Xenopus tropicalis: one gene and its partners. The protein of the gene in region 5 purifies or fractionates together with the protein of the main gene of each other region. This does not show direct contact. Links are inferred from orthologs where the notes say so. Each region holds a gene or a part of one and is shown on either strand. Other genes may lie near its edges.

Region 1 (3,520 bases), on a different chromosome or scaffold from region 5:
GAGTTATTTGCTTGGCAACTAGTATCTATCAGCATCAGCATAACAGAAATAGCCAATCAATTCACAATCACCGTCAGAGTTTGTTTTATACTTTGTGTTATAGTCTTTTTTTTTGTAGGGAAAAACAGCTCTAATACTCAAAGAGAGCACAGACCATTTATTTATTGCAGCTAACTGCCCACCAAAAAACTAAAACTACTCACTCGTGCATGTAAAAAGATAGACGTCAGAGATGGGGATAATAATATCAGAAGTGGTACAGAATTTTAAATTAATTTGATTTAGAAGTTTCTTTTTTCCATGGGATAAAACTAATATTAAATGTTTGGTGTCATAATAGCACCCCTTTAAATGTGACTTTACTGATACCTGGATTACGGACAAGTGACTGACTGCTTGGCTGTACATTAGTGGCACGAACTTGTTGCAAAGGGACAAGTTGGATAATCTGTCCGTTAGGATGTCTGAATAAATTAAGCTTTCCAGGGCTTCGGATAGGCTGCAAAATCATCTTTTGTCCTGGGGTTTGTGGCATTGGCTGCACTGGACGGACAGGCGTGGAGCCAGACTGAACTGGAATAAGTAGGAGTCGAGGTCCCAGTCGGTTTTCTAATCCAGTAGGCAAAACTGATGGTCTTGGAACTTGACCAGGGGTCTGGGGTACAGCTTTAAAAGGGACAAAAGACAATTATCAAAAAAAGGTAGTTAAAACACACACACATTCCATCTCTACAGTATTCTATGAATACATCCACATTCTGGCACCCTTCAGTTTAATGATACTTCCCTTCATGAAGTTTGCAAATCTTCATCAGTTACTGGTTTGTCAAACAAATTACTGGGATACTGTAATTATTAATGAACCTATTTTCAAACCTTATTGTACAGGTCTCCATATTAAAAAATGTAATTAACACCCCCTGTGGTCCTTGCCTGACATGATTTTCAGACTCCTTGACTAGATATCAGTCAAGCAGGGTAGTGTTGCTGACCTGGTCTGGAGCGTGCTAGTCAGGCAATGATGGCTACTTTTCTATACACTGATGGATATGAGCTGGATTGTGTTACACATCATATAGTATCATGATTAACCTTAGTTACTGACTTAACTACACCACAAGGCTATAAAAATGAGAAGACCGTTTCAATCTAAAGATCCTTGCAATTTAGGGCATTTTATCCCCATGAATTCAGTACTACAAATTAAACAGCAAGTTTAGAAGAATATCACTTAACACAGCAGTACTGCCCATTTGTCACAGCCATTGATAAAGAGCTAATTAGGCTCAGAACGTTGTTGTTGCCCCTGTTGTGATAATAAAGGCTTTTTAACTTTATAATGGAGTGCTGCCAGTAACCATTTGAACAGCCATTTGCCATGCACAGCACTGACACATGTTACTAAAAACCTGGATGGAAAAGTGAAAGCTGAACTCCATTAGCCCAATGGTATGGAATAACCTTTACAAATCCTTGGCAACTGCCATATTCCTTGCCTTTGGAAGAAGCATCCACACTAGACTAATCATCACACTGTACAAATGTGGTGCTTCTGTGTATTTCTATAACATATCCCTCCTCTAAACTGTGTAATATGGCAATTTCCATTCATTGAAAATATGCACTCATTTCACTATGCCCTCATTTTTAAACAATCACAATACCTTCTTTTTGACTTACTGAGACTATAACAAGTGAAAGTTTCATGGTTTCTCTTGATTAATGTTTCCCTAGATTGAGATTATAATTATACTCACAAAACTTTCAATTTCAACATTGTTATTGTTTAATAACTGAGTCTTAGTTTAGTGCCCCATATTTAATTAAAAACTTTAGCTCTATTAGAACTTTTTTGGATATATCCATACCTGGTTTTAGAGTTAGTGTAGGCATAGCATTAGTACCAGCCAGGGAAGAGACTGATCCAAGAGTCCTTACAGTTGATGTAGGTGCCAGTTTTGGTGCCAGCTGAGGAGCAATGCTTGTGGAAGTACCAGAGAGACTAACTGTGGATGTAGTTAAAGTAGAAGAGGGCAAAGTTTTTACTAAGGGTGAAGCAATTAAAGATGGAAGAGGTGCAAGTGACTCTTTCGGTCTCGTAAAGGATGTTACACTTGCAGTCTGAGTACTTCCACCTGAGGCAGCTACTACTAGCCCTGGGGGAACAGAGACAGGAGTGTCCTTTGGTAATAGTTTAGTAACACTTATAAGAGTTGGCATTGAAGGTAAGGCTTTATCTCGTGATGGTGATACTGTGCCTACGCCAGCCAGATTTGTTAAATTAATTGTAGAAGGATTAGTGCAGATAGCTGAAGCTTGCTTTCCTGAGGCCATTGATGTAACAACTAGCAGTGATGGAGAAGTCTCATGGGCAATCTTCTGTGTCCCAGATGAGTTTATTTCTGAGGTTTTCTGCTGAAGAGTTCCAACTTCATTTAAAATTAACTGAGTCAATGTGGTACTGAGGGCAGGTTGTGGAACTGCAAAGTAAAACAGATCAAAATAGCTGAAACCGCAATGGTAATGTGGCAGAAAATACTTTAACAACCATACAATTGTACAGGTATGGCACCTGTTATCCAGAATGCGTGGGACCTGGGCTTTTCTGGATAAGGAGTCTTTTAGTAATTTGGATCTCCATACCTTAAGCTAAAAAATCATTTCAAAATAACATAAACCTGATAGGATTGTTTTGCCTCCAATAAGGATTAATTATATCTTAGCTGGGGTCAAGTACAAGGTACTGTTTTATTACTACAGAGAAAATGGAAATCATTTTTAAAAATTTTATTTTTTGATTAAAATTATTGGATTATTGGATTTCCAGATTTTAGCAAATATCAGAACCCACCAACATCCAAGAGCTGAAGCTGTTCTGAATGGAGGAATGGGCTAAGGACTGTTCAACAGTTACCACAAACATTTAGTTGCAGTTTCTGCTGCACAAGGGGGTCACAGCAAATAATGAGAGCACCATTCACAGATATGTTATTGGATCATTTTTTTTTTCAATAGGAAAATCAGATGATGTTTTAGGTCTCATTCATGTAAAAATATATAAAATTGTAAAGGGTTCACAAACTTTCAAGCACCACTGTACTGAACGAAAACCTGCATCCCATTCAAAGATTAATTTGTAAGGAATATACAACTACCTAGGCCAGTGCTATTTATATAGCAAGTAAATCAGATCTTTGTTTTTATTTTCTAACTGGTAGTAGCCCCAACTAAATGCCAATTGGTTGCTATGGGACCTATGCTAGTAAATGAGCCTTCTTAGCTTTTATAAATTCCCAAGGTAAAAAGGTAATTGCTATGACAATGGGCAGAGGTAAACATTTCAGAACAACAATGTTGAGAGAACTTTTTCGAAACACATACATACCAATATTTCTTGGTGTGGGTTGTTTAACATTCAGAGTTGCTGCAATGTTTTCTTTAAACTTCCCTTCAACACTACTGGAAGCTGTTTTTTCATCTTTTGATAGGGCATTGACTTTTACTTCATTCAGTTTAGAAA
Region 2 (4,073 bases), on a different chromosome or scaffold from region 5:
ATTACAGTTATTAAAGTGATGGTATTTTACAAAATATATAATCTGACAAAATCACTTTTACTTTCCATTCTGTACTCCCAAATCAATGCCAATTCCAATGTCAATGCCCTCCTCACATTTTCCCTTTCAAATAACTGTCTATAATTGTGTCTGTGCATTGGCATCAGGTCCCCAATTCTGGCACATACACAAGATTTTAAAGGTGATACAAAGTTTCCCTTAATAAAAATGTCCACAAAATTGTGCCTGTGCTTGTGACTGTAAATTGTAAGAATGAATGAAAGAAAATGTAAAGTTTATTTTGCTCAAATAAGACAAAAGAATTTGGAATTATTTCTTAAGGTGACAGGTCCCCTATTAAGACCTTACCATTATTCCTTTTCTCATTATTATTCTGATGTCTCCCAAAACATTTTAAGTTCTTTTTAGCAATGTTGTATAATGTCCCTTGAAAGCATATATTTATTTTTCTGTTATTAGGCACATATCATAATTATGATTTTACCTTTAGTTCCTTCCCCCTGTAATAAGTTTATAGCTATTGAGCATTGTATAAACAACCCCCACCCATAATCAAATAGCTACAGTTTCTGTGAGGCTTTCTGATTGGGGGACTAGTGATTTAAAGCTGCATTTTTCTCTTTTACTGACTTATTCACCACCCTCACCAGATGCTTAGGAGAACCACAGGAAGTTGTAAAGTGAAACTGCTTTTAGTTTAGTTATTGCCCTATTGTGTAATACATGGCAACAATATCGCTTAATTAAAACAACTGGGAAAAGTATGTTGAGTACAAGCCCCGTTGAATGCGTCTGTGTTAAACATGCGGATACACAACTCCTCTAAGTTTGCTGTTTAGCTGAGAGGCCCGGCTGCCTTAGCCTTGCATTGCTTTGGCTCAGTATTCTTTAACTCCATTACTGAGGTAGAGACAGAAGAAGAGCCACGGTCCTTTCAGCTACAGTCGTTTGTGTTGATTATGAGACAACCAGCGGTGTTTGCCAGCGCTTCCTCCATCACACGCTACGTGCGCCTACATTTGCCCTGCGCATTTCCTTGTATCCCCGGGCAGATTTCCTTTATGCTCGGACTTTTTCATGTGCGCTTTCTTTTCCATAGTAATGCCGACCATAAGGCAGCCCCTTACGGCCTCTTCTCCGCACATACATCAAGCAAAGTCGCTTTAGTTTTCCAAGCGGCTCTGGTATTGCTTTGTCGGCCTGTTATTGGTCGCGCCAGGTCACGTGTTGCGGTGGACAGCTGGCTGCGGTTGATCGCGGTCGGTGTAGGCGCCCACTCCCGCCTCATAGCCCGGGCTCTCTCCCCGCTCGGCCTGCGCTCAGCTTCCTCTGAAGCAGCATGGGAGACAAGAAGAGTCCGACCAGGTAAGAGCACGGCTAAAGCAAAAAAGGAAGTAGAAGCTGGTGAGAGGCTGCGAGGATTGCCTAGGCAATCTCCTTTTCACTGTGTTAGAAGCGCCCGAGGCCGGGGCTAGGGGAACAGGCCGCCTTGTCAGCGTGTATGCCCTTGTCTCTAACAATTTCCTCTTCCCCCAGGCCGAAGAGGCAGCCGAAGCCTTCATCAGACGAAGGATACTGGGACTGTAGCGTGTGCACTTTTAAGAACAGCGCCGAGGCCTTCAAGTGCCTGATGTGCGATGTACGCAAGGGAACCTCTACCCGGTGAGCGAGCCCGCCACACAATAACAGCACAGCCTCCTCACTTACTGACATTGTCTTCTTAGCCAGTCCCCACAATACCGCACTTGCCTCACAATTCTCACAATACCGCACTTGCCTCACATGCCGCACTTCCTATCCTGTAGTAACATTGCTGCTGCTGCTACACAATAACAACACATCCGTTTGTCTGAAACAAACAAGCACACCTTCTGCACGGAACATAAACACACAGCTCGGATGTGAACACATTGCAAGCAAAACACCAGCGCACAAATGGTTAACGAATCCCTGCAAGTATAGTAATTGTGATATATTACAGAATCACTTTAGTTCTCCTGTAATTGTGACATATTACAGGAGAACTAAAGTCATTCAAATGGCTATGCTGTTACCCCTGCCCCTACCCCTGTCTTTGGAAAACGCACTGGACTGCAGAGTGTGTAGTCCCAATCCTCTGTGCCAATTATGTTGGGTGCATATACAGTACAGTAATCACCCCTTTCCAGGGAGCTGCAGCGGATGCTGGGAAACAGGCAAGAAAATGGAGGCAACTGTCAAGTAGTCTGGGACAGTGTGCTTTCTAATGAAGACAAACACCAGTGCAGGGCAGCAGGTTAGAGATTAAAATTATATTTTTACTTTAGTTCTCCAGCAAAGACAAAAATATTTAGTGAAACGGCAACAAGATGCTTTTCCTACATAACACCACATAATAAAAAACAGCATCACTTTCAGTTGTCCTGACACAAGGAAAACTATACCTTCAGAATAATATGATGAAAAGTATTTGTTGGGTATTTAAGTGGCCTATTTAAGAATATTTCCAATCTGGAGCATATATATCAGTAAATATTACCCCTTTTACCTTAAGCTGCCGTTTTGTGATGGTCTGTGTGCTCCCTCAGAGATCACCTGGCCAAAAATATTGCATCTCTAACTTTAACAGGAAGTAGTGTGGTAGTAAAAGACAGAACTTCTGTTAATTGGCTGGTATGATGTATGTGTGCCCCATGAATCATGAAAATCATATAATCTGGTGTGGTGGTAGCCCTTAGTACTTAAAATTCCAGTTTTCTATTTTGGAATGACACATACTACTAAAAAAGGTTATTTTTCTAAAAATGGTTTATTTAGATAAAGTAGAGTTTTATATGTTAGCTGTTTTTTTTAATAAATATATAAGAAGTCCTCACGACAGCACCTCACTCCAAAATGCAATTAGATAGCCACCCTTGTGCACAGAATACAAAATAAAACACAACCAGCACCAAGGGTCTTATAGTTCAAACAATCTCAAGTGTATTGCATGTATAACCAACGTTTCAGTCCCTTTTCGGACTTTTTTCGAAAGTGTCTGTTATACATGCAATACACTTGAGATTGTTTGAACTATAAGACCCTTGGTGCTGGTTGTGTTTAAGTTTATTTATATATCCAAAAAAGACCAGCAACACCGAGTTATATTCCAAAAACAATTGTGTATTAAAAACGCATAAACAGCCACAATTGATTGATTTTGGAATATAACTCGGTGCTGCTGGTCTTTTTTGGATATTTAAATCATTTACCTTGCACCGGAGCTAAGAGCTGAAGCAGAGTGCCACCCTGGGTTCACTATATATATATATATATATATATATATATATATATATATAATCTCTTAGGTTTTTTTTTTTTTAAAGAGACCTACATTGTTCTGGGGTATGCTTTTCCTTTAAAGGAACAGTAACACCAAAAAATGAATAAAAGTAGCCAAAATATAATGTGCTGCTGCCCTGCACTGGTAAAAGTTGTGTGTTTACTTCAGAAAGTCTACTATAATTTATATAAATAAGCTGCTATGTAGCCATGGGGGCAGCCATTCAAAGGAGAAAAGGCACCAGCACATAGCAGATAACAGATAAGTTCTGTAGAATACAATAGTGTTTTATCTGTTATCTGCTATGTAACCTGTGCCTTTTTTCCAGCTTGAATGGCTGCCCCCGTGGCTACACAGCAGCTTACTATATAAATTATAGTAGTGTTACTGTAGCAAACACACCAGTTTTACCAGTGCAGGGCAACAGTGCATTATATTTTTATTACTTTAAAGCTCTTGCATTTTTTGGTGTTACTGTTCCTTTAAGCCAGAGGTATCTCCCCTGTGGCTAGGGCTGTTATCTGATGGTAAAAATAGACTTTGTCAAAAGGCAAAATATCCCTTTTGGCAAAAGGGATATTAAGGAAAGGGCAGTTACATTTATTGGTTTCTCAGAAAAAGGTGTCCTTATTGTTGAAATGCATCTGATAGTTTTAAACTTTTAAATTAAGCTCCATTGTTTCAGTGTCAGTGCCTATACACTGGCTGACCTACCAACTGCCCCATTATTTAGTTTGGCTATCCGCTTGCT
Region 3 (3,354 bases), on a different chromosome or scaffold from region 5:
GTGTGCCATACTCGGCCTGTGTGTGCCATACTCGGCCTGTGTGTGCCATACTCGGCCTGTGTGTGCCATACTCTGCCTTCCCTACCCTGCCTGTGTGTGCCATACTCTGCTTGCTCTATGATGCTTGTGTGTATGGCACACACAGGCAGCCTACAGTGACACAATGCTGGCCAGACAGGTGGGGGGCCACACAGAGGGGGGCCGCCAGTTGGACAGCACTGGAGTAGGGGAAACAATAGGTTATCAGCAAGCAGTTCTGTTGTGAAGTGCTGGCTCTTTCTGATAGCGCAGACTCAGGCACAATATTACAACTAAAAAAATGCATTTAATGGTTTAACATTAAAATGTTATATGGTAGAGTGAATTGCTTGCAATATAAACAGTGTAATTTAGTAATACAAAGTACACCATAAAAATCATGACAGAATTCCTTTATAAGTTTAGGTTATTTTAGTTCTTCTAGTTCATCCTTTGGTGCATTCTTACCTTCTTTCTAGTCTTATTATTATTATTCTTTCACAGTGTTTTTACATTTCACTTTAAGATGATCCAGCAAATAAGCATGTCATGGAAGTGGTGCCTTCCACAAGTGCTGGCAAGAATTCTGTGGATCTTGTGCCAGCTGACCTTGAGATGGAAGATAGCAGCAGCAGCAGAGAGAATATGTGCAACCCAAAGTCTGAAGAAGGCGAGAGTAAGTGGAATTGGAGGGTGTCTGGGTTGGGGGAACCATACAGCATGGAACGTTTAGTGAAGAGTTGTGAGAAATCCCTGCTATGGCAAAATTGAAATCTTTATCTAACAAAGTACACACAATTATTGGAGCAAGACTGTGGCAAATTGGTATATTAAAGTGATAACAACTCTATAGTGCTCTTATTTTTGCACATTAGAAGAATATACTTTTACTGCCTATTAGTATACCAACAGTTATTCTCATTCTTTTAAATCTTGTGGTGCATTGCTACACAGAGCATTTTACTCATTGTATCATGTCTTGCAGTTATCGCAGTGCAAATAAAGGAAGAAGAGATGGAGGTTTGTGAACTCGAACAAGTAAAGAACCAGGACATGAAAAAGGAAATTAAAGAAGAAGAGGAGGTGGAACTATGAAGCAGCTTTACATGTAACAATAATATAGCTGTTCATGTAATAAGCAAATCCAAGAAGGCCAGCTTGTGCTTTTTTGTAAACAGAATGAAAGTGACCATAGGCAGCATTAAGAACAGTTGGTTAGTGTTAATTGCTTTGAAGAATGCTTATTGGCATGTATGTATGTATGTATGTATGTATTTTGGCCCATGTGACCTTTATATGAAATCATCCTCTATCAACTGGTTTTGAAAGGTTGGGGACTGTAGATGATGGATTCAACAGTGGCATTTTAGCCTAATGTCAAATTTCAAAATGAAATTGAAAAACAGATTGTGGTACAGGACTCTGCTGGAGCAACGCTGATGCATTTTGCAAAAATCATGTTTTTCCGTGACAGAATCCCTTTGCGGCCAGTGCTTGTCTACTCTTTGTAAATAGGGCCCCTGGGGGTTTTCATAAAAAGATGTGTATTTATGTAAATATTATTATGTATATACAGTGGGGGTATTTTTGTTTGTTTTGGTCAATTGTTGAGCAATATATGTTGATGAAATACCTGCAGAGGATGAAGAGGGGTCTGATATCCAGTTGCAGCATTCTTTTATCCACTGTATAGGGATTATTCAATTTAAAATCTTTAAGATAAGTAACTTGAATCTCTATTCATTCACAAAATGCTGGCACATCCATGTGAAAGGCAAATATGCTGCAGTTGTGTTTTTCTCTTAGCCCTTTATATAAGTTTTTTTTTCTCTCATTATGTCAGAAATTGCCTTTGATTTCATAGCTGCTCTTCTATTAAGAGTACCTATCAAATGTGTGCAGGGCTGTTTACTTAGACTGGACACCTGTACCAAATGCCATGTACTGCAACTTTATGCAGTTACAGAGATTGCCCTCTGTGTTACCCACCCTTGAGGTTACTTTACCATCTCAATCAGGGATCCCCAAACATTTTTTAGTTGTGACCCACACGCAGATGTAAAAAGTGTTGTGAGCCACACAAGCATTAAAAAAGGGGTTATTTGGTAGCCCCATAAGGACTGCTGACCTGCAGGAGGCTCTACTTGGAGTAAAACTGCATCTCTATACTTCCAAAACTTGTCTCCAAGCCAGAGATTTAAAAATGGGTACCTATTTTGAGGCCACTGGGAGCAACACAAGGGGGTGGTGAGCAATATGCGAGCAATGTTGCTCACAAGCCATTGGTTGAGGATCACTGCTCTAGCTGGTGCCCACCTGGTGGCTGTATTATAAAATTAAAAAATGATTGGTGAACTTTGTATAAAATATTTACGAAAAAAAGCTTTAGCTTCTAGTTGTTGCTCTGTGCTGCAACCAAATACAATTGTAGAAATCCAAAAAATAGGAAAAAAAGCCTCAGCAGGTTTACTGCAAAACATTTATTGTGGGTAGTGGTAACTGGGATCAGCGGTTGGATACCAGCCATCTCCTGATCCAGCTGTTCACAACTGCATAATCTGTGATACATGAAGAGTTGCTGAGTGCCCTACCAGTGAGGTGGGACGTGAAGGGGGAACTTTACTTGCATAGTTCTGCTCTACATGGGACATTGTGCTTGCAAGTAAACAACTTTTATACACAGATTTGTTAAAGCCTTTGTTTGCCCTTCAAAAGCATACACACTTTTAAGATATATTTTGTCAGTTAAAGTAATTTGTAATATCTGGCATAAATACTTTATTTTTGTAAATAAACTTCTTTTTTGTAAAAAGAAAAAAAATCCTTGTAATATGTGACTTTATTTTAACACAAAAGGCTGTATTGAATTGAAAAAAAATGTTTTTTTTCAGATAAAAACAATTATTTTTCCCCACTTATTTGAAAGGGTTTGTGTTAAAAAGTAATTTCAATTCAAATTAGGTTTGGCTGGTCCCATACTGGTCTGGACTGGGAGTCAGAATAGGCCCTGACATTTCCAATACACAGAGGCCCAAACAGCCCAATAAATAGTGATTGCCAATGGTCTTTTACAGCAGTCCCTCTGGCATTTGCCAGAACCCACAGATTGCCAGACAGGCCTGGGCCCATATCCCCGTTCTCCTACATAAACTGTCCCACTTTATCTTGCTCATGTTCCTGTCTAAGACGGTTTGTTCCAGAGTGGCCCATGGCAAATTATATTTTTGGGTTTCAGCTTAATTCCACAGACTATTTTCTAAACACTTCCATTTTTCAAAAAACCATCTCAGAAGCTGTCAAACTTTGTTTTTAATAGTGCTAGCGTTCTTAATAATG
Region 4 (2,328 bases), on a different chromosome or scaffold from region 5:
ACTGAACACATACAACATAGACGGGCGTTTTTTTTTCCAACTTTTTTCAAATCCGATCCATTTTAAACATGGATGGTACTTTATATTTAAATAACAGTAATGGGGAGAAAATAAACTAATGAATCAGAAGACAGTGAAGGGACCAAATTCATTAAAAAAAATGCAGTCCAAGAGCATAACAATATTAGGATGAGGCCAAAAGAAAAAAAAAAAGTCTGTAAAAGAGCTGGACGGGGCTAATGAGGGGCTAATATGGGGCCGAAGTGAAGCTTGGTACAGGCTGCTGGTTTTATTGCTGTGGCCAGTCTAGCTCGCGTCCATCCGTAGTTTCTTTCTGCTTTGGGGTTCTTCAGTTTCCGACTCAGAGCTTGAGTAATTGGACTGCAGCTGAGAGCTGGATTTTGCTTTTTCCAGTGCACGAACTACAGTGGGGGGAACAGACAAATCATTAGGGTCACTCTGCTATACGTTTCTTACATTAGTTATCCATTCATTGCCTTTAAACCAGTCAAAAACCAATTAGCAGGTCATGTCAAGGGAACATCAGTTGCTAAGATGTAATACACCTTTACCACCAGGTATAGGGGGGAATACATGACATTTTTGCAGTTGGACCAATAAGTTTGGGGAGTGAGCAGGGCTGTGAAGGGGGATTTAGTTCCCTTTTACTTTATTTACTTTACAGCAAATGCCTTTTTGCCTCCCTTTAGCCCATCACCAAAGTCACTGCCTGCCCAAGTCTCCACTGCTCCCTAGGGTTGCAAAATGAGTTGTGATGTATAAACTACACTTCTCTTAGCATATGAATGGAACCCAAATTAGGTGCCCTCAATAAAAGGTGGCCATACACGTAGCGATTCTGATCTTTTGCGCGACCATTTGTCCCATGAAAGATCGTTCCCACCCTCCACTGACGTTCAGGTATGGAGGTAGAAACAATAGAAATTCTACCTCTACCTGGCGATTAGCCCTGAACGTAGTTCTTCTCGGGCGCCTTCAATGGCGCCCAATCCAAATCTTTTAACCTGCCCGATCAACAAGTCGACCGATATCCGCAGCCTTCTGCAATATCGGTAACCTCTTTGAGCAGCCATACACGCCCCGAATGTCGTATGAAAACAAGGTTTCATGCGATATTATCGGTGAGAATATGGCCAGCTTAAGGCTGAGCCGTTACCTAATGGTAGCCAAGGAGGTCTGAAGTAAACACAGAGGCTAGGGAATGCGACATACGCACAGTTTTTTTGCTTCCGGGCTCTGCTGTTTGTTTACTTTTGCTCATATATATATTCAAATGACAAACTGGTCCAGTATATGGCTTGGGACTTTGTACATGGTTGAACAAATAAACAATGGCTGCTTTGTATGTTCTATGTAACCCTAAAATAAATCTCATTTACCTTGTTGTTCTAATAAAGCGTTCTGTCGCTTTAAGTCATCGATATCTTGCTGGTGTGTGTGATTTTTCCTCCTCATGTACTGAATGTACTCTGTAGCTTTGTCCAGTATTTGGGCCCTCGATGCCTGTACCAGAAATGAAAGGTTATTGAACAACTAGTTAATGCAAGTAAGCCAAAGGCCTTGTATTCCACCACCATAAAAAAAAAAAAAAAAAAAATGTTAGTGTAGGTTATATGCTGGTTTATTTACTAAGCAGTACAGCAGCTCATTTTTTGCTAATACTGTACAGATCATTTCACTGCAACTTACAATACACAGACACTTTTTTTATGACATTCCTTTACTGCTTCAGTTGTTGCAGAACTACAACACCAGGGATCAGTTTTGTGGTTGGAGGATGCTGGGTGTTAGTTAGAACTGATACTGCCAAACAATAAAAAGGAGGCAATTATTAGCACCTACTTTATACCTATTTGTTAGGCATGTTATATACAATTATTATAGATTATGGGTTTCTGGATAAAGGATCCTATACCTGTATTGTGAAAGGAAGTATAAAATAAGTGCAATATTTCACAAACATTTTCCAGTGATCTGCAAATCTTTATTTTGATCCTATGGCTAATGGGTTATTAGACTGTGCCTACTATGCAGAGCAGAAAGGGCATATAACATGACCAGACCTCCTGGGAGCACAAAAAACTCACACTTTCTAAAACTTAGAATACATACTGGGAATTTGGGCAGCTGCACCCCCAAAAAATCCCTTTAATTTTGTTGGTGACATTGAACCAACTATTTTTTGAAGAGCAGGCACTCACTGAGCAAATCTTCAGACAGAATTCTTGATTAAAAATGAACTTTATTGGAGTCACAGACACTTATAATGTACATGTAAATATGAATATATTTTGAAAAGTAGTTTTT
Region 5 (3,959 bases):
CATAGAAAAACCAGTGGAAGGTACCCAAGTTCAGCAAGTATCAGCTCATTGGATTCATTATTTACAGTTAACTAATTAAATGCATTTTTCAATGTCTCTGCTTATTACTGAGAATGTGCCTGACCAGACAGAGTTCCAAAGGAAACATTCAAATAACCTAAGTTAGATGTGATTATTATTTTCCTTGTGTTTCTCTCTATCTAGCCAAAGGCAACAACAGCCCTTTAGCAGGGAAGATCTGTGCCTCCAAAGTTGGGCAACTTATAAATGTCACAATACAAAGCTGATTAGTTATTGATTTAGATTCAGATTACACGGCAACAACAATGAATCAGCCCTGTAGCATCAGCTTCTATAACCGGCCAGCCTCATTTTCTGCTTGATAATTTGCTACAGCCCCTAAGCTTAGCTTTTCAACAGCTGCCCAGACCTTACTGAGCATGTGCAGCGACACTTCTAAAAAAAAAAAAAAAAAAATACAAGATGGAGAGCTCCTGTACATAACCTTAAAGACTGGGAGCATTATTGCTATAAAGAGCCTTTCTTTAGGTCTCCATTAAATATCAAACCTTTAGAGGTGGCACCCAGGCTTACTGAGCTGCTATTAGGACAAATGAGAGGAGAGACCGTCACTTGTTAGCAAAAGATGGACTGTCTATGTGTCACAGCTGCCAAAATAAGCACGTTTGCAGTGATTATAAAAATGTGAACAGCCCGCAAAGAAAGATTCTAGAAAAATGTAATCGCTTATTATAATACACAAGTTTCAGTGAGTTACATCACTAAGAACCATTTATAACTGATGACATCACTAAGCACTGTTTATAAGGATATCATTTACAGGATACTCTTGTGATATTCTCTTGCGTATTATATATTTAGAAGCAATAATGCAAAAGCCACAGATATCCCGGTGGAACATATTGTTGTGGGAAAAGAGTAAAATGAACATACTTTTAGTCGGTATCTTAATTTCTTCATGCTGAATTTCTGTTTTCATCTGCAAAAGAACACAAAGAATTAAGCTTTCTTTGGGCCTGTATCCTGCACTGCTTGCTGTGCATTATAGTAAGGCAAGGGTAATTCCTGGTTTCACTGTATCACTACACACAAGGCAAAATACCACATTGTTCACGATTGCATGAACAGTCCTAGCAAACATCTAACACCCGAAAAAAACAGCACCTCTTGATTTATTAGAACTGTGTGATCCTGGGTAAAGTGTTTGAGTGTTTTGAATATATGTTTAGCAGCTTTCTAGCTTGGAATTTCAACCACTATCTAGTTGCTAGGGTAGTTTTACCATAGCAACCAGTCAGTGGCTTAAATATGAATCACAGGGGGACTGAAAGCAAATGATTTTCAGCTGCAGGGGTCAGTGACCCCCATTTGAGAGCTGAGAGCAGAAGGGGAAAGAAAATAACTCTATAAAAAAAAAAAAAAAGAAGACCAAATGAAATGAAATGTTGCTGAGAATATGCCATTCAACATGCTAAAAGTTAACGTACAGGTTAAATGCATGGAAGAAAAAAATGGACTTCACATTCTCTAAGTGTGTGTTTTAATAGCAGGTAAAGGGAATTACAAGTAATTTTAGCTGCAACCATTAGGTTCTTGCTGAATTACAACACTCAGAACGACTCTAACAAACTATGAGTAAAGGCAAAACAGCTGAACAAGAGCTATAGGACTGCAGGATGTACATCCCTGGGGAATATACTATAGGTAGGTGACAATGGTACATCCCTGGGGAATATACTATAGGTAGGTGACAATGGTACATCCCTGGGGAATATACTATAGGTAGGTGACAATGGTACATTCCTGGGGAATATACTATAGGTAGGTGACAATGGTACATCCCTGGGGAATATACTATAGGTAGGTGACAATGGTACATCCCTGGGGAATATACTATAGGTAGGTGACAATGGTACATCCCTGGGGAATATACTATAGGTAGGTGACAATGGTACATCCCTGGGGAATATACTATAGGTAGGTGACAATGGTACATCCCTGGGGAATATACTATAGGTAGGTGACAATGGTACATCCCTGGGGAATATACTATAGGTAGGTGACAATGGTACATCCCTGGGGAATATACTATAGGTAGGTGACAATGGTACATCCCTGGGGAATATACTATAGGTAGGTGACAATGGTACATCCCTGGGGAATATACTATAGGTAGGTGACAATGGTACATCCCTGGGGAATATACTATAGGTAGGTGACAATGGTACATCCCTGGGGAATATACTATAGGTAGGTGACAATGGTACATCCCTGGGGAATATACTATAGGTAGGTGACAATGGTACATCCCTGGGGAATATACTATAGGTAGGTGACAATGGTAACAGGAGCCTCCCCTAAGGGCCCACTGGGGCATGTATAGCAGCAGCCCTGCCAACTGTGAGAGCGAAGCAGCAGACTGTGTAGCTAAGGCTAAATGAAACACAACAGATGTATAACATACACAAGTGACATCACAAGTTAATAAATGATTATATCCCTGCGGCTGTATAACACCGCTGTGCATGCTGGGAACACAGAACACACCAGCGAGGGAAGGTGCACGGCTCTCACCTTCACTACTTCCTCTGCTTCAACCAAGTCACTCGTTGTGGCCGCGGGAAGTGGGCTGAAAAGCTCCGGCGACGGGGAAGACATGTTACCAGGAACCCGCGGGAATTCTCACACACGCAGAACCGTGGGACAGTCACCTGACATGCTCTGCGGCGCGCAATCATGTCGTCACGGCGAGTCAGCCTATCAGCGCTTGTGGGCGAGGGTTCTGCGTCGCGCAATCATGTCGTCATGGCGAGTCAGCCTATCAGCACTTGTGGGCGAGGGTTTAAGGCGTAGCGAGCTCGGGTTGGCGCCTGGTGTTGCTTCATGCGGTGACTGAAGTCTAAGGGGGAATGAAACTGCTCAGTCCTGCTACTTAATAGCTGCTCCTTAGCTGCTAACTGATATTATGGGGGACGGAGCTGTGAGGCTTATGTAGCAACTCTGGGGAAACTTGCACAGTAATCCAGGGCAGCCAATCAGGTTGCTGCTTTTGCTGTAACTGCATAAAAACTAATCAGTGGTACCTGTGGGCTACTGGGTCGGTGTTGTTCTGCCCAGGATTAACCAGCGTGTCTTTGCTTGGGCCCAGACTGGCAATCTGTGGGTTCTGGCAAATGCCAGAGGGGCTGCTGTAAGGTGCCATGTTACTATTTATTGGGCTGCTGGGGGGAGTAGTCTGGGCCTGTTTATGTTCATAGCTGTGTTGCTGATTTTTAAAAGAAGACTAATTGCACAGAAGCATTTCAGTACCTTCCAGTCCTTTTTCTTTACTCGCTTCTCTTTGCTAAATATCCCCAGTGAGTGGTTTTAACTGCGAGCTATAAAATGATTGTCCTGAGACAATGTGTACAAGTGACACAAACCCATGTAGGTCAATAGAATCCAGACAGGGCTGTTCTATATACATGTATGTTTAGGGTTTGTTTAAAAAGACACAACCCTGTTGTCGAACTCCATAAGCCAGATATTGGTCGTTCAAGGTGTCTGGTTTGGTGGGCTGCAGTGTGTACATTTAATCAGCCTGTAATGGGCAGCTTAAAGGTGGCCACATGGTCGCACGAAACATCGTCAGATCCGCCACACACCGTTCAGGGCTGAAACAGCAGATAAGGAGGTAGAAACAATAGGATTTCTACCTCCTTCTGCCGATTCAGCCCTGACGGCAGATTTTGGTCAGGCGCCTTCTATGGCACCCTATCAAAATTTTCTAACCTGGCCGATCGGCGAGTTGACCGATATCAGCAGCTTCCTGCGATATCAGTCGACTTGCCTACATGCCATACACGCACCGAATATCGTACGAAACGAGGTTTCGTACAATAGTATCGGTGCGAGTATGGCCAGCTTTAGAGAGCAAGGGCCAGATATTGTTGCACTTT

The links.
Region 1: the proteins of e2f6 (region 5) and mga purify together in Homo sapiens (affinity purification with mass spectrometry; 3 studies listed by BioGRID and IntAct, counting the BioPlex papers as one, with this or other methods). This does not show direct contact. The link is inferred for Xenopus tropicalis from reciprocal best matches to the Homo sapiens genes E2F6 and MGA.
Region 2: the proteins of e2f6 (region 5) and yaf2 purify together in Homo sapiens (affinity purification with mass spectrometry; 4 studies listed by BioGRID and IntAct, counting the BioPlex papers as one, with this or other methods). This does not show direct contact. The link is inferred for Xenopus tropicalis from reciprocal best matches to the Homo sapiens genes E2F6 and YAF2.
Region 3: the proteins of e2f6 (region 5) and l3mbtl2 purify together in Homo sapiens (affinity purification with mass spectrometry; 5 studies listed by BioGRID and IntAct, counting the BioPlex papers as one, with this or other methods). This does not show direct contact. The link is inferred for Xenopus tropicalis from reciprocal best matches to the Homo sapiens genes E2F6 and L3MBTL2.
Region 4: the proteins of e2f6 (region 5) and max purify together in Homo sapiens (affinity purification with mass spectrometry; 5 studies listed by BioGRID and IntAct, with this or other methods). This does not show direct contact. The link is inferred for Xenopus tropicalis from reciprocal best matches to the Homo sapiens genes E2F6 and MAX.

The regions. Positions count from the first base shown.
Region 1 is NC_030684.2:105,140,301-105,143,820, forward strand, and holds part of mga (MAX gene-associated protein), read right to left. Parts: coding exon 3,386-3,520; intron 2,481-3,385; coding exon 1,869-2,480; intron 667-1,868; coding exon 370-666; intron 1-369. UniProt on the Homo sapiens protein: Functions as a dual-specificity transcription factor, regulating the expression of both MAX-network and T-box family target genes. Functions as a repressor or an activator.
Region 2 is NC_030679.2:64,862,371-64,866,443, forward strand, and holds the start of yaf2 (YY1-associated factor 2), read left to right. Parts: upstream 1-1,265; 5' UTR 1,266-1,360; coding exon 1,361-1,386; intron 1,387-1,557; coding exon 1,558-1,683; intron 1,684-4,073. UniProt on the Homo sapiens protein: Binds to MYC and inhibits MYC-mediated transactivation. Also binds to MYCN and enhances MYCN-dependent transcriptional activation. Increases calpain 2-mediated proteolysis of YY1 in vitro.
Region 3 is NC_030680.2:115,987,138-115,990,491, reverse strand, and holds the end of l3mbtl2 (lethal(3)malignant brain tumor-like protein 2), read left to right. Parts: intron 1-522; coding exon of another isoform or gene 523-544; coding exon 545-694; intron 695-1,003; coding exon 1,004-1,113; 3' UTR 1,114-2,839; downstream 2,840-3,354. UniProt on the Homo sapiens protein: Putative Polycomb group (PcG) protein. PcG proteins maintain the transcriptionally repressive state of genes, probably via a modification of chromatin, rendering it heritably changed in its expressibility.
Region 4 is NC_030684.2:119,967,674-119,970,001, reverse strand, and holds part of max (protein max), read right to left. Parts: intron 1,525-2,328; coding exon 1,401-1,524; intron 423-1,400; coding exon 307-422; 3' UTR 1-306. UniProt on the Homo sapiens protein: Transcription regulator. Forms a sequence-specific DNA-binding protein complex with MYC or MAD which recognizes the core sequence 5'-CAC[GA]TG-3'. The MYC:MAX complex is a transcriptional activator, whereas the MAD:MAX complex is a repressor.
Region 5 is NC_030681.2:138,935,298-138,939,256, forward strand, and holds the start of e2f6 (transcription factor E2F6), read right to left. Parts: upstream 2,818-3,959; 5' UTR 2,680-2,817; coding exon 2,596-2,679; intron 1,001-2,595; coding exon 955-1,000; intron 1-954. UniProt on the Homo sapiens protein: Inhibitor of E2F-dependent transcription. Binds DNA cooperatively with DP proteins through the E2 recognition site, 5'-TTTC[CG]CGC-3'. Has a preference for the 5'-TTTCCCGC-3' E2F recognition site.